Linked DNA regions of Macaca mulatta. The protein of the gene in region 1 purifies or fractionates together with the protein of each later gene. This does not show direct contact. Links are inferred from orthologs where the notes say so. Each region holds a gene or a part of one and is shown on either strand. Other genes may lie near its edges.

Evidence for each region.
Region 2: the proteins of FBL (region 1) and C1QBP purify together in Homo sapiens (affinity purification with mass spectrometry; 4 studies listed by BioGRID and IntAct, counting the BioPlex papers as one, with this or other methods). This does not show direct contact. The link is inferred for Macaca mulatta from reciprocal best matches to the Homo sapiens genes FBL and C1QBP.
Region 3: the proteins of FBL (region 1) and NOLC1 fractionate together in Homo sapiens (co-fractionation; 3 studies listed by BioGRID, with this or other methods). This does not show direct contact. The link is inferred for Macaca mulatta from reciprocal best matches to the Homo sapiens genes FBL and NOLC1.

The regions. Positions count from the first base shown.
Region 1 is NC_133424.1:50,974,406-50,978,151, forward strand, and holds the start of FBL (rRNA 2'-O-methyltransferase fibrillarin), read right to left. Parts: upstream 2,609-3,746; 5' UTR 2,530-2,608; coding exon 2,520-2,529; intron 1-2,519.
Region 2 is NC_133421.1:6,940,193-6,943,938, forward strand, and holds the start of C1QBP (complement component 1 Q subcomponent-binding protein, mitochondrial), read right to left. Parts: upstream 2,228-3,746; 5' UTR 2,175-2,227; coding exon 1,943-2,174; intron 1,360-1,942; coding exon 1,209-1,359; intron 1-1,208.
Region 3 is NC_133414.1:114,259,999-114,263,744, forward strand, and holds the start of NOLC1 (nucleolar and coiled-body phosphoprotein 1), read left to right. Parts: upstream 1-1,067; 5' UTR 1,068-1,089; coding exon 1,090-1,209; exon of another isoform or gene 1,210-1,244; coding exon of another isoform or gene 1,245-1,286; intron 1,287-3,746. UniProt on the Homo sapiens protein: Nucleolar protein that acts as a regulator of RNA polymerase I by connecting RNA polymerase I with enzymes responsible for ribosomal processing and modification.

The DNA.
Region 1 (3,746 bases):
CAATTCCCACCTATGAGTGAGAACATGCAGTGTTTGGTTTTTTGTTCTTGCAATAGTTTGCTGAGAATGATGGTTTCCAGCTGCATCCATGTGCCTAACAGCACTCAGATCTCATTATTTTCTTGCCCAAACCCTCCAACAGTTTTCCAAAGCCAGGACCTTCATTTAGGGGAGATGCCACAGCTAGGTTTATGAAAGTCTCAACCCAGGCCTAATAAAAAGGAAGTACTGGCATGTGCACGGGGCGGAGTGGGCAGGAGTGTAAACTTTCTTTTTTTTTTTTTTTGAGACGGAGTCTCGCTCTGCCACCCAGGCTGGAGTGCAGTGGCCGAATCTCAGCTCACTGCAAGCTCTGCCTCCTGGGTTCACGCCATTCTCCTGCCTCAGCCTCCCGAGTAGCTGGGACTACAGGCGCCCGCCACCTCGCCCGGCTAGTTTTTTGTATTTTTTAGTAGAGACGGGGTTTCACCGTGTCAGCCAGGATGGTCTCGATCTCCTGACCTCGTGATCCGCCCGTCTCGGCCTCCCAAAGTGCTGGGATTACAGGCTTGAGCCACCGTGCCCGGCCAACTTTCAATCCCAGATACTCAAAACATCTCATTTCAGGTCCTGGAGCTTTTTGGGGGAAAATGTACCAAAAGTACCCACTCCTCAGAAAAAACACATGTTCACACAAACTTTTCCAGTAAGTTCTTTTTTGGGGGGAAGGGGGGGTTCCACAAACTCCCTGATTTAAAATCTGCTTTCCTTCCACAGCCTTCTCCATCTCAAAAATGGCAATTCCATCCTTCCAGCTACACACCCCCAAACCCTTGGTTATCCTTGACTCTGCTCACACACCCACATACAATCTGTTGGTTCTGTCTTCAAAAGCATGTAAAACCGTCAGCATGTCCACTGCTTCCATCCTGGTCCACCACACCACCTCCTAGATTACAGCAACAAGCTTCCCACCGATTTGCCTGCTTCCACATTTGCCACCCTGAGGTCTTTCACACATGGAAGCAAGAAGAATCCCTTTTAAAAATGTCAGACTGCACCACGCCCCTGCTCAAAAGCTCCCAAAGGGTTCTCTCACTCAGACTAAAATCCTTACTAAAGAGCTAACACCTGACAACTTTTACAACTTCACATTCTACCACACAACGGAAGAAGGTTGGAAGAAGGGGTATCCTCCATTTCTGAGGGAATCATAGACCAGGATGCCTGCAGGCAAGTCAGGATCTCAATAGGAGAGATACCTGGCCTACAATCCCTCAGCCCACTTCATCAGGAGATCCCCCAAACACGGAAGAGAAAGGGAGGTTGGGAGAAGGGCACGGATCCACAAATCTCCTGCCAGGTGACCCCAATCTCTCCACACAAACACACACAAAAAAGAAAAATAAAGCCTGTTCCAGGAAAACAGACCCTTTGGGCCATGGTGGAAAATTCTCCAAACTCAATGAAGCAAGTTCTCACACAGACGAGTGGGGGTTGGGCAGGCCAGATGGAGGAAGTGCTCAGACACCACGGAGAAGGATTCTAATTTTGTTCTCTTTGAGAAAGATAAAGGCAACAGCTAGAGCCAATACTATTATGTCAAGCACTGTGCTATTTTTTTTTTAAACGTCGCTTAATCCTAACTGGCGCCTTTTTATTGATGAGAAAACAGAGGCTCAGAGAGGTAAAGCCACTTGCCCAAGGTCACACAGCAGGCTAAGAAGCTGAGCCAGAACTGAAATACTAAACTGAGGCCCTTCTGCTGTCAAAGCCAGGACCCTCATCATTCCACCATGAAGGCAGTGGGTTCAGCAGAATCTAATGGAAAATCGAAAGAATAAAACCACTTACGTCCTGTGACAGCCACCCACCCCCCTACCCCAATCTAATGCCGAGCTTGTTAAGTCTCGCCCCGGAGGTGGAAATCTTAGTCCCCAAATCTCCACTCCATCCCTGGGGATCCGCCCCCCTGTAAGTGCAGAAGGCGGGAAAGTGAGCCAGAGTGCCGCACACGGCCAACCGAGGAGTCCTCCGCTCCGGCCCACTCGGAAAAGCTGGGTTGGGGGATAAGGGGATGGTGGTGGTGGCAGCGACAGGGAAGGCAAATAGGGGCTTCCCACACACATCTCCAGGACCCAAGGTCAGGAACTCTCCATCTCCGACCCAAGGCTGATTCCCAAAACACGCCCAGCGATCCAAGACTCCAGATGCCGGGATCCAGACTCTAGTCCAAGACTCCTGAGTGCCGCCTCCTGCCCAATATCCAAAATCCCTATTAGACGGCCTCAAAGAGACGAACGCCAGGTCAAGACCCCCAATGCCAGGCCCAAGGCCTTCTTCGACTCACGACCGTGACCTCCGAAGCCAGTCAATAACCCCTAGACCTCCTGGAATCAGGATTCCCCTTCCCACAAGAGACCGGATCCGTGCTCAGAACCCCTGCCCCCAGGCCAAGGCCCCACCCCTCCGATTCTGGCCTGGCACCCGGATTCCCGCCCGGCCTCCGTCCCTGATCCCGGACCCCACCCCAGCCTGACCTGGCTTCATGGTGAGCCCGGGTTTGTGCGGCTCCGGAGCCCGCGGCGTTCACAACTCCACGAGTCCGGGGCTTTCGCACGTGGAAAAGAGCGCAGGCGCGCGGCGACGTGCAGCGCGTGACGCAACCACGTAGCCCCGCCCCGGCCCCCTGCCCCGCTTGGAGCTCGGCGCACGCACAGTGGGCGAGGAATCTCGAGCCTATCGAAACTAAGCCGGTTACCCTCACTCTCTGCCTTCCCAGCCTTTGCTTGTGCAGCGGTCTCCCTAAACTCGCTTCCGGTTTCCTCTTCCCCAGTGCGAGCACCCCAATAATCAGGGCTCATAGCGAGGCCTTCCCACGGGCTGTGCCCTCTGCCCCCTCTTTTGTATTTCTAACTCCCTGGGGTCCCTGTACACCCAAAACGGCTTCCCTGACACATTTCCAGCGCCAAGAACAGTGACCGACTCTGTGCTTCCATTCATACATCCGAAAAACATTTACCGTGCCCCTCATGTATACCAGGCGCTGTTCTAGGAGCTGGGAATACAGCGGTGTACGAGACCTAAGAATCTCCACTCTCGGCCGGGCGCGGTGGCTCAAGCCTGTAATCCCAGCACTTTGGGAGGCCGAGACGGGCGGATCACGAGGTTAGGAGATCGAGACCATCCTGGCTAACACAGTGAAACCCCGTCTCTACTAAAAAATACAAAAAACTAGCCGGGTGAGCTGACAGGCGCCTGTAGTCCCAGCTACTCGGGAGGCTGAGGCAGGAGAATGGCGTGAACCCGGGAGGCGGAGCTTGCAGTGAGCTGAGATCCGGCCACTGCGCTCCAGCCTGGGCAAGAGAGCCAGACTCCGCCTCAAAAAAAAAACAAAACAAACAAACAAACAAACAAACAAAAAAGGAATCTCCACTCTCCTGGAGTTAATCTTTTTAATGGAGGAAATGGACACCAAACATGTTGAATGTTAGAAGGCAGTAAGTGCTTTGGAGAAAATCACGGCAGGGAAAGGGGATAGAGATTTTGGAGGGCAAGTGATTTTTGTTTTTTTGGCATGGTGGTCAGGGAATGCATCAGGTGACTTTTGAGCTAAAGAGCTGAAGGAAGTGAGGAGTGAGGCATGCACCTATCTAGGGGAAGGGAGTTCCAGGCAGGGAAGAGATCTGCAGATGCAGAGGCCCTGAGGAAGGAAAGATACGGGAAGTTGGAGAGAAAATGAGGAGGGTGATTGGGGCAAAGTGAGC
Region 2 (3,746 bases), on another chromosome or scaffold:
TTGTCCGAATCCGGGAGGCAGAGGCTGCAGTGAGCCAAGATCGTGCCACTGCACTCCATCCTGGGTAATAGCAAGACTCCGTGGGGTGGGGAGGAAGCTACAAATTGTATGATTCCATTTATATGAAATGTCCAAAAGAGGCAATCCATAAAGTAGCTTAGTGATTACCTGGGGTGGCTAGAGGGAGGAATAATGAGTGACTGCTAATAGGTATTGTTTGGGGATTGACAACAATGTTCTAGAATTAGGTAGTGGTAACCGATGCATAATTCTGTGAGGACTAAGAACCACTTAATTTAATAAACTTCAATAAATGGGTAAATTTTATGCCATATAAATTAAATCACATTAAAGCTGTGATTTTAAAAAAGAATTATATATACATCATAAGGTCAATTATAAAGAAAATTCAATTTATTTATTTATTTATTATTTTTTTGAGATGGAGTCTTGCTCTGTCCCTCAGGCTGGAGTACAGTGGCGCCATCTCGGCTCACTGAAACCCGGGGGTTCAAGCGATTCTCCTGCCTCAGCCTCCTGAGTAGCTGGGACTACAGGTGCTTGCCACCACACCCTGTTAAAATTTTTAGTAGAGACAGGGTTTCAGTGTTAGCCAGGATGTTCTCGATCTCCTGACCTCATGATCTGCCGTCTCTGCCTCCCAAAGTGCTGGGATTATAGGCGTGAGCCACTGCACCCAGCCTCAATTTAAAAATCTGGAAGATGACAAATGTTTATCTGTGTAATGAGATTATGGATGACTATAAAGCAGAAAAGTGTAAACACTAACAGTTTAGGAGAAGGTGGGGCACCTGACTTAGGTCACAAACTCCCCGCCTCTGATGGCAGCCCTTATCTACAGTGGAACCCCATCCTGTTACATATAAGTTACATGCCTTGCATTTTCACCCAAGCTAAACATTACAGAGAGCAGGGTGCTACTGTATCAGGGCTGTAAATCAGAGATCAAACAGATTCTGTCAGTACTTTTTTGCGCTACATTTTTGTCTCCTTAGTAACCAGCCCACAGCAAATTTGTGTTCAGTGAATGGACTGCCTGGACCTTATGAAGCTGTCCAATTGAATCCTTCACTCTCTTGAAAACCATTTATCCACACCTGAACTCAAGGCTCTTCTAGGGATGACTCAGGACGGGTCTTGCAAGGTTAAGGGAGTCGGTGCCCTGGGATCCCCAGACCAGTACTTACTTTTCCCCGGCAACTTTCCGCACTAATTTCGCTTCTGTCCCATTCAGTTCCAGCTCCCAACCTCCAGACATCTTAGGGAGGGTTTTATGCTTCTGGATTTTTCTTTCCTCCTCAATTTCATCCTTCAGGAAATCAACAAAAGCTTTGTCTCCTAGAAAAGAAATCCATATACATAAAAAGGAAAGCCAGTTAGTCTAAAACATAAAACTATTACCCTGGTTATCGCAGCCAGAAACCTGGACTATTTCTAATCTCTCTGCTATTACAGTTACTCTAGAAGCCTCAGTTTCCTTATCTGTAAAAATACCATAATATTAGTGGGAAGCTGAGCCTGATGCTGGAAAAGTGATTTCCAACAATGAACGCATTACCACTTTCCGCTATAAAGCAGAAGAATTTCCGATCATCCTCTTCCACTTGCCAAACGATAGTTGTATCGTATGCTATTTTCAAACACGACCTTGGGCTTTCCCAAAAGTCCACTTTCGAGAGAATAAGACTAAGGATGAAGGTACCCTCTAGTATTTAATTTTATTCACCCCCCTACCAACAGAAAATGAAACTGGTGGATAGGGGAGGTGGGGGGAATATGATCACACGTGGGTTTAACCCGCTGGTTGCCAATCAATGGAAAAATGTCCCAGACCTCGGAGGTCGGTTGCAGGCCCCACTCCTGGTCTTTTCCCCTCCGTGAACCGCAAACCACACCCCTGGCCCGCGTGCGCGAACCTCACCTTCAGTGTGCAGCAAGCCGCAGCCACAGCCACAGGCGCAGGGTCCTCGAGGCCGCAGGAGGCCCGGCCGCCGCTCGGAACCTGTGCGCACGCTGAGCAGCCCGAAGGGCCGGGCGCACAGCCGGGGCGCCGGCTGCAGGAGCTGCCGGAAAGGCGAGGCGGGCGCGGCAGCGCGGAGGCTGGGGACGGCGGAGCCCAGCACACGAGGCACGCAGCGCAGCAGAGGTAGCATCGCGCAATCCACTGCGAACACGTGCAGATGCAAAGGACAACCCAGGCCCAAGTACCCCGCGACCTAAAGCGCCGCCGGAAGCCCCGCCCTTGCCCGGAAGCGCTTCCCGCGCCGGCGCACTGAGGACCTAAGGCCCCAGGCGGAATCGCGCCTTCTGCTGGAGGCCTCCTGTGCAGCCCGGGAAGCCTCGAATCCGGTTTCCGGAGCCTTCTTGCTGCGCTGGCCTGAGTCCTCTGTCCGAAGCTGTTTAATTATTTCTAGTGGCCGCTTCCACCTACTGTTTTCAAGGCACGCCAGGCTTTTGGGCTGTGTGGAATGCACTCTTGTCTTCCCCCAGCTCTCACCAGCCCCTTACACGGTCACTTTCCTCTAGGAGGCTGTGGTGTTATATTATGTATTTATTGGTTTTCATCCCCAGTTCCTGGGTCGTAACTCCCATAGCCCTCGTTACAGTGTTCTGTGATAATGTTGGGTGTGTTAGGCCTCAGGAAACAGACTCTCACTCTCCCCTTCTCCCGCCCTCCTTTCACCCGCCCCAATGCAGGACTCTAATCTCCCACATTTCTGATTATGGGTCTTAAGTCCCTTCCCAGAGAAGGTCCCACCCTCTACCCTGGGGGAAGGGATGCTGATGTCCAGAAGCTTCCATAAAAACCCATGAGGACAGGGTTTGCAGAACCTCTGATAGCTGAATACGTGGAGGTTCCTGGAGGGTGGTGGCCCAGGGACGGCGAGGAAGCTCGGAGCTTCTTCCCCACTGCCCACCCTGCTCATCTCATCTGTATCCTTGGTAATATCCTTTATATGAAACCGGTAAAAGTGTTTCCCTGAGTTCTGTGAGCTGCTCCAGTGAGTTAATACAACCCAAAGAGGGGGGTCGTGGGAACCCCCACTTGAAGCGGGCTGGTCGGAAGTTTCAGAGGCCCAGACTTGCCATTGCTGTCTGAAGGTCGGGGCGGTCTTGGGGACTGAGCCCTCAACCTATGGGATCTGACACTGTCTCATGGGATCTGACACTGTCTCCAGGTAGATAATGTTGGGATTGAATTGGAGGACACCCCGCTCGTGTCTGCTGCTTAGTGTGGAGGGAAAAAACCCAAACCTTTGGTCACAGAACTCTTCTGTGCTGATTGTTGTAAGAGCAAAGGAAGAAGTCAGGGTTTTCCTGAAAGAGGCCTTCCTAGAACCTCCTTTTTTCCATCGGCTTAGAACTCATGCTTGTGCGCACCCAGCCCTTAGGCTTCATTCTCTTTTCAACAGAAACCTCCTGGCATTGCTGGTTTTAACCGGGTTAAACCCAACCAGACTGTGACATCCTGAAGGGCAGGATCCATGAGTAATTTCTGTGACCTTCCCTCTCTGCACCTCCGACCCTGCATCCAAGTTCTAATGGAACATCATTTTTCTGGGGACAAGAAGCCGGCTTGTATCATTTAGATAGGTCCAGAAGCTTCCATAAAAACCCAAGGACAGGGTTTGGAGAGCCTCTGATAGCTGAATACGCGGAGGTTCCTGGAGGGTGGTGGCCCAGGGAGGGCGTGGCAGCTCGGAGCTTCTTCCCTATTCCCCACC
Region 3 (3,746 bases), on another chromosome or scaffold:
GGCTTAAGGGATCCTCCCATCTTGGCCTTCCAAAGTGTTGAGATAACAGGTGTGAGCCACTGTGCCTGGCCAGTTTTATACAGGAGAGGGGAGTGTCTGGAGAAAGGCAAAGGAGAGGTGTGTTCCATGAGAATCCTTATCCTTCTTGAGCGGCATTAGTGGGAGGTAGCCAAGGGGTAGTGGGTAGGATCGAAGCGATTGCTAACTGCTAATATGATCTGAAATGTGGCAGAACTTGGAATTAACTTGGTAGATGTGAGCATTGATATTGGAGTTACTCATGACAAAGGGAGCAACTCTGACCCTGGAGAAAGAAGGGCTATTCAGGTTTAGTGCAAGACATCTTTCCTCTTCATGGAGCTGACCTAAGGCGGAATATAAGGGGAATGGGAGGGGCGGCTTGGAAATCAACACCTGCCACCCTCACGACTGATAACTTGAAGGATCCTCTGGACGACTGATAACTTGAAGGATCCTCTGAACAACACCTCCCACCCTCACGACGGATAACTTGAAGGAGCCTCTGCAGCAGAGGCAGGAGTCTGGAGGCTGGGATAGTATCAGAAAGGGCCTCCCTGGGTGTTGGAGGCAATGAAGATGAAGGGCGAGAATCCATTGGCCGCGCCAGTGCGCCAGTGGGGGCGGTTGGGAGATCTTGTAGACCAAGTCTAGAACGGGACTGTTCGAGCCCGCTTGTCCACTCATTACTCTGGAATCCGAATCCCAGCAGGGGCGCGGGAAACCGCTGCTCTGAGAAAAGGTACCTCCCCCAGAAAGACAGCGCGGGAAGTCCCGAGTTTCCCGCCACGCCGAGGGCGTGACCCTTGACGTCAGAGCTCCACCTCCACAAACTGGCGGCCAGTGGGCTCCGCCCTTAACCAAGATGGCGATACACGTGGGACCGGAAAGAGTTTATAGATTTCCCGTCTACCCTACCTCTGAGGTGGAGGTGGGACTGTCCTGTGGAGCCCCGCCCTTTCCGCTATGCGCCCGCGCGGCGCAATGACGTACACGGGCCCGCCCACTGCCCCTGTTGGGTTCCTGAGTCGTGCTGCGTCGACAACGGTAGTGACGCGTATTGCCCGGAGGATGGCGGACGCCGGCTTGCGCCGCGTGGTTCCTAGCGACCTGTATCCCCTCGTGCTCGGCTTCCTCCGCGATAACCAACTCTCGGAGGTGGCCAATAAGTTCGCCAAAGCGACAGGAGCTGTGAGTTCCGGGCTTGGCGTGGGGACCGGGCTGAGATGACCACAAAGCTTCAGGCCCTGACGTGCTTAGGTTTCCAGGTGGGGAAGTCTGTGGGGTCCGCCAGTTCAGTGTCTGCAAGGCCTTTACGCCGACCCCTGGGCAGTGGTCAGAGAAAGCCTGCGGCCTCGGTCGCTCCTCTTCCCGCAGTTCTGACTAGATATCGCTGAGTCTTGTTGTTTTTTTTCTTGTGGAGCCGTGCAGTGGCGGCAGCGTGGGAGCCTCGTGGCCCGAAGTCACATGGCTGGCAGAGTGCAGCGGGGAGCTAGAGCCTTGTCCCACTGAGGACGTTGGTTCTTCGGCATCTGTTTCTTCTGGGGTGCTTTTCGTTGGATGAGGCAAACCGCGATTTGACCTTACCCTCAGTTACATTTACTGGGCTTCAAAAGCAAGTGAAATTGCTTTAGAATGAAGGCCGGGATTGTCGTTAGTAAAGAAGAAAATGAATGAAAGTAGAAGCAGAGTTTTGTTTTGAGTTACACTAATGAGAATTGAGCATCATAAACAGCCCTACCAAGCAGGCATAGTAGTGGGCTTGGAGCTTTGGCTAATGCAATCAAACAAACCTAGGTTTGGGACCAGGCTCTGTCACTTTTTAGATACGTGACCCGGGCAGTTTATTTAACCTCTCTGAGTCTTTCTACAGGGATGTCATCATCCACTTTATAGGATTTTTGTGAATTTCAGTAAGATGATGTGTAAGAGTAGCAATCTCAGTGCTGGTGCAGAGGAATCTTGTAGAAGTTAAAGCTGTACCATAATGATGGCAATTTAGGATGCTCCAAACACATGTGAGAGTAAGAGAACCAGGAATGGGAAAGGTTTGTAATCTTTCACATCAACAGACATCCCTGCATGGGAAGAGACCTTGAGGGAGGAGAGAGAGGAGGTCTTCTGCAGGGATGATAGCATGACTAGAAAGGATGGCTTGCACTTTTTTTTTTTTTTTTTTTTGAGACGAGTCTCGCTCGCTCTGCCGCCTGGAGTGCAGTGGCCGGATCTCAGCTCACTGCAAGCTCCGCCTCCCGGGTTCACGCCATTCTCCTGCCTCAGCCTCCCGAGTAGCTGGGACTACAGGTGCCGCCACCTCGCCCGGCTAGTTTTTTGTATTTTTTAAAGTAGAGACGGGGTTTCACCGTGTCAGCCAAGATGGTCTCGATCTCCTGACCTCGTGATCCGCCCGTCTCGGCCTCCCAAAGTGCTGGGATTACAGGCTGGAGCCACCGCGCCCGGCCGGCTTGCACTTTTAGCAGAATCAGGCTGCAAAAGCAAAAGAATCAGATCAGCTTCAGAACTTCCTTAAGCTGGGACATGCTGCCATGTGATCTAACTGCTTTCTTAATGAAACTGTTTAGAGTTGACTGTTAAGGAGACTGCAGAGAGGACTTTCACAGTGGACTGAATGGAATTGGACATTTCAGAATTAGGATTCTTTTTTTTTGTTTTTTTTTTGAGACGGAGTCTCTTGCCCAGTCTGGAGTGCAGTTGCCCAGGCTGGAGTGCAATGGTGCGATCTCGGCTCATTGTAACCTCCGCCTCCTAAATTCAAGAGATTCTCCTGCCTCAGCCTCCCGAGTAGCTGGGATTATAGGCGCGCACTGCCACGCCCGGCTAATTTTTTTATTTTTACTAGAGACAGGGTTTCACCATGTTGACCAGGCTGGTCTTGAACTCTTGACCTCAAGAAATTCGCCCGCCTCGGCCTCCCAAAGTGCTGGGATTACAGGCGTGAGACACCGTGCCTGGCCTCAGAATTAGGATTCTGAAATGGTTTTATGTGAGAAAAGCTAATCTTTGTGAAGAGTTTACTAAGGGTCAGGAGCTAAGCCCTTTACATGCATTTAATTTTTTTTTTTTTTTTTTTTTTTTTTTTGAGGCGGAGTCTGGCTCTGTCGCCATGCTGGAGTGCAGTGGCATGATCTCAGCTCGCTGCAACCTCTGCTGAAGTGATTCTCCTGCCTCAGCTTCCCAAGTAGCTGGGCCTACAGGTGTGCCCCACCAAGCCCAGCTAATTTTTTTTTTTTTTTTTGTATTTTTAATAGAGACGGGGTTTCACCATGTTGGCCAGGCTGCTTTTGAACTCCTGACCTCAAGAAATCCACCACCTGGGCCTCCCAAAGTGCTGGGATTATAGGTGTGAGCCACTGCACACGGCCAACATGCATTATGTCTTATCCTCTCAATAACTTAATGAGATGTGTAGTATTATCTCCATTTTATAGAGAATAAAATAATCTCAGGGAGACTAAGTAATTTGTCCAAAGGTGAGTTCCCATGTGTCCTGACTCTGGTCCTTTACTCTTTTTTGTACCCCAGAGTCTCACTCTGTTGCCCAGGTGGCAGTGCAGTGGTGCAATCTCAGCTCACCCCAACCTTCGCCTCTCAGGTTCAAGTGATTCTTATGCCTCAGCCTCCTGGATAGCTGGGATTACAGGCGCCCACCACCACGCCCAGCTAATGTTTGTATCATTAGTAGAGATGGGGTTTCACCATACTGGCCA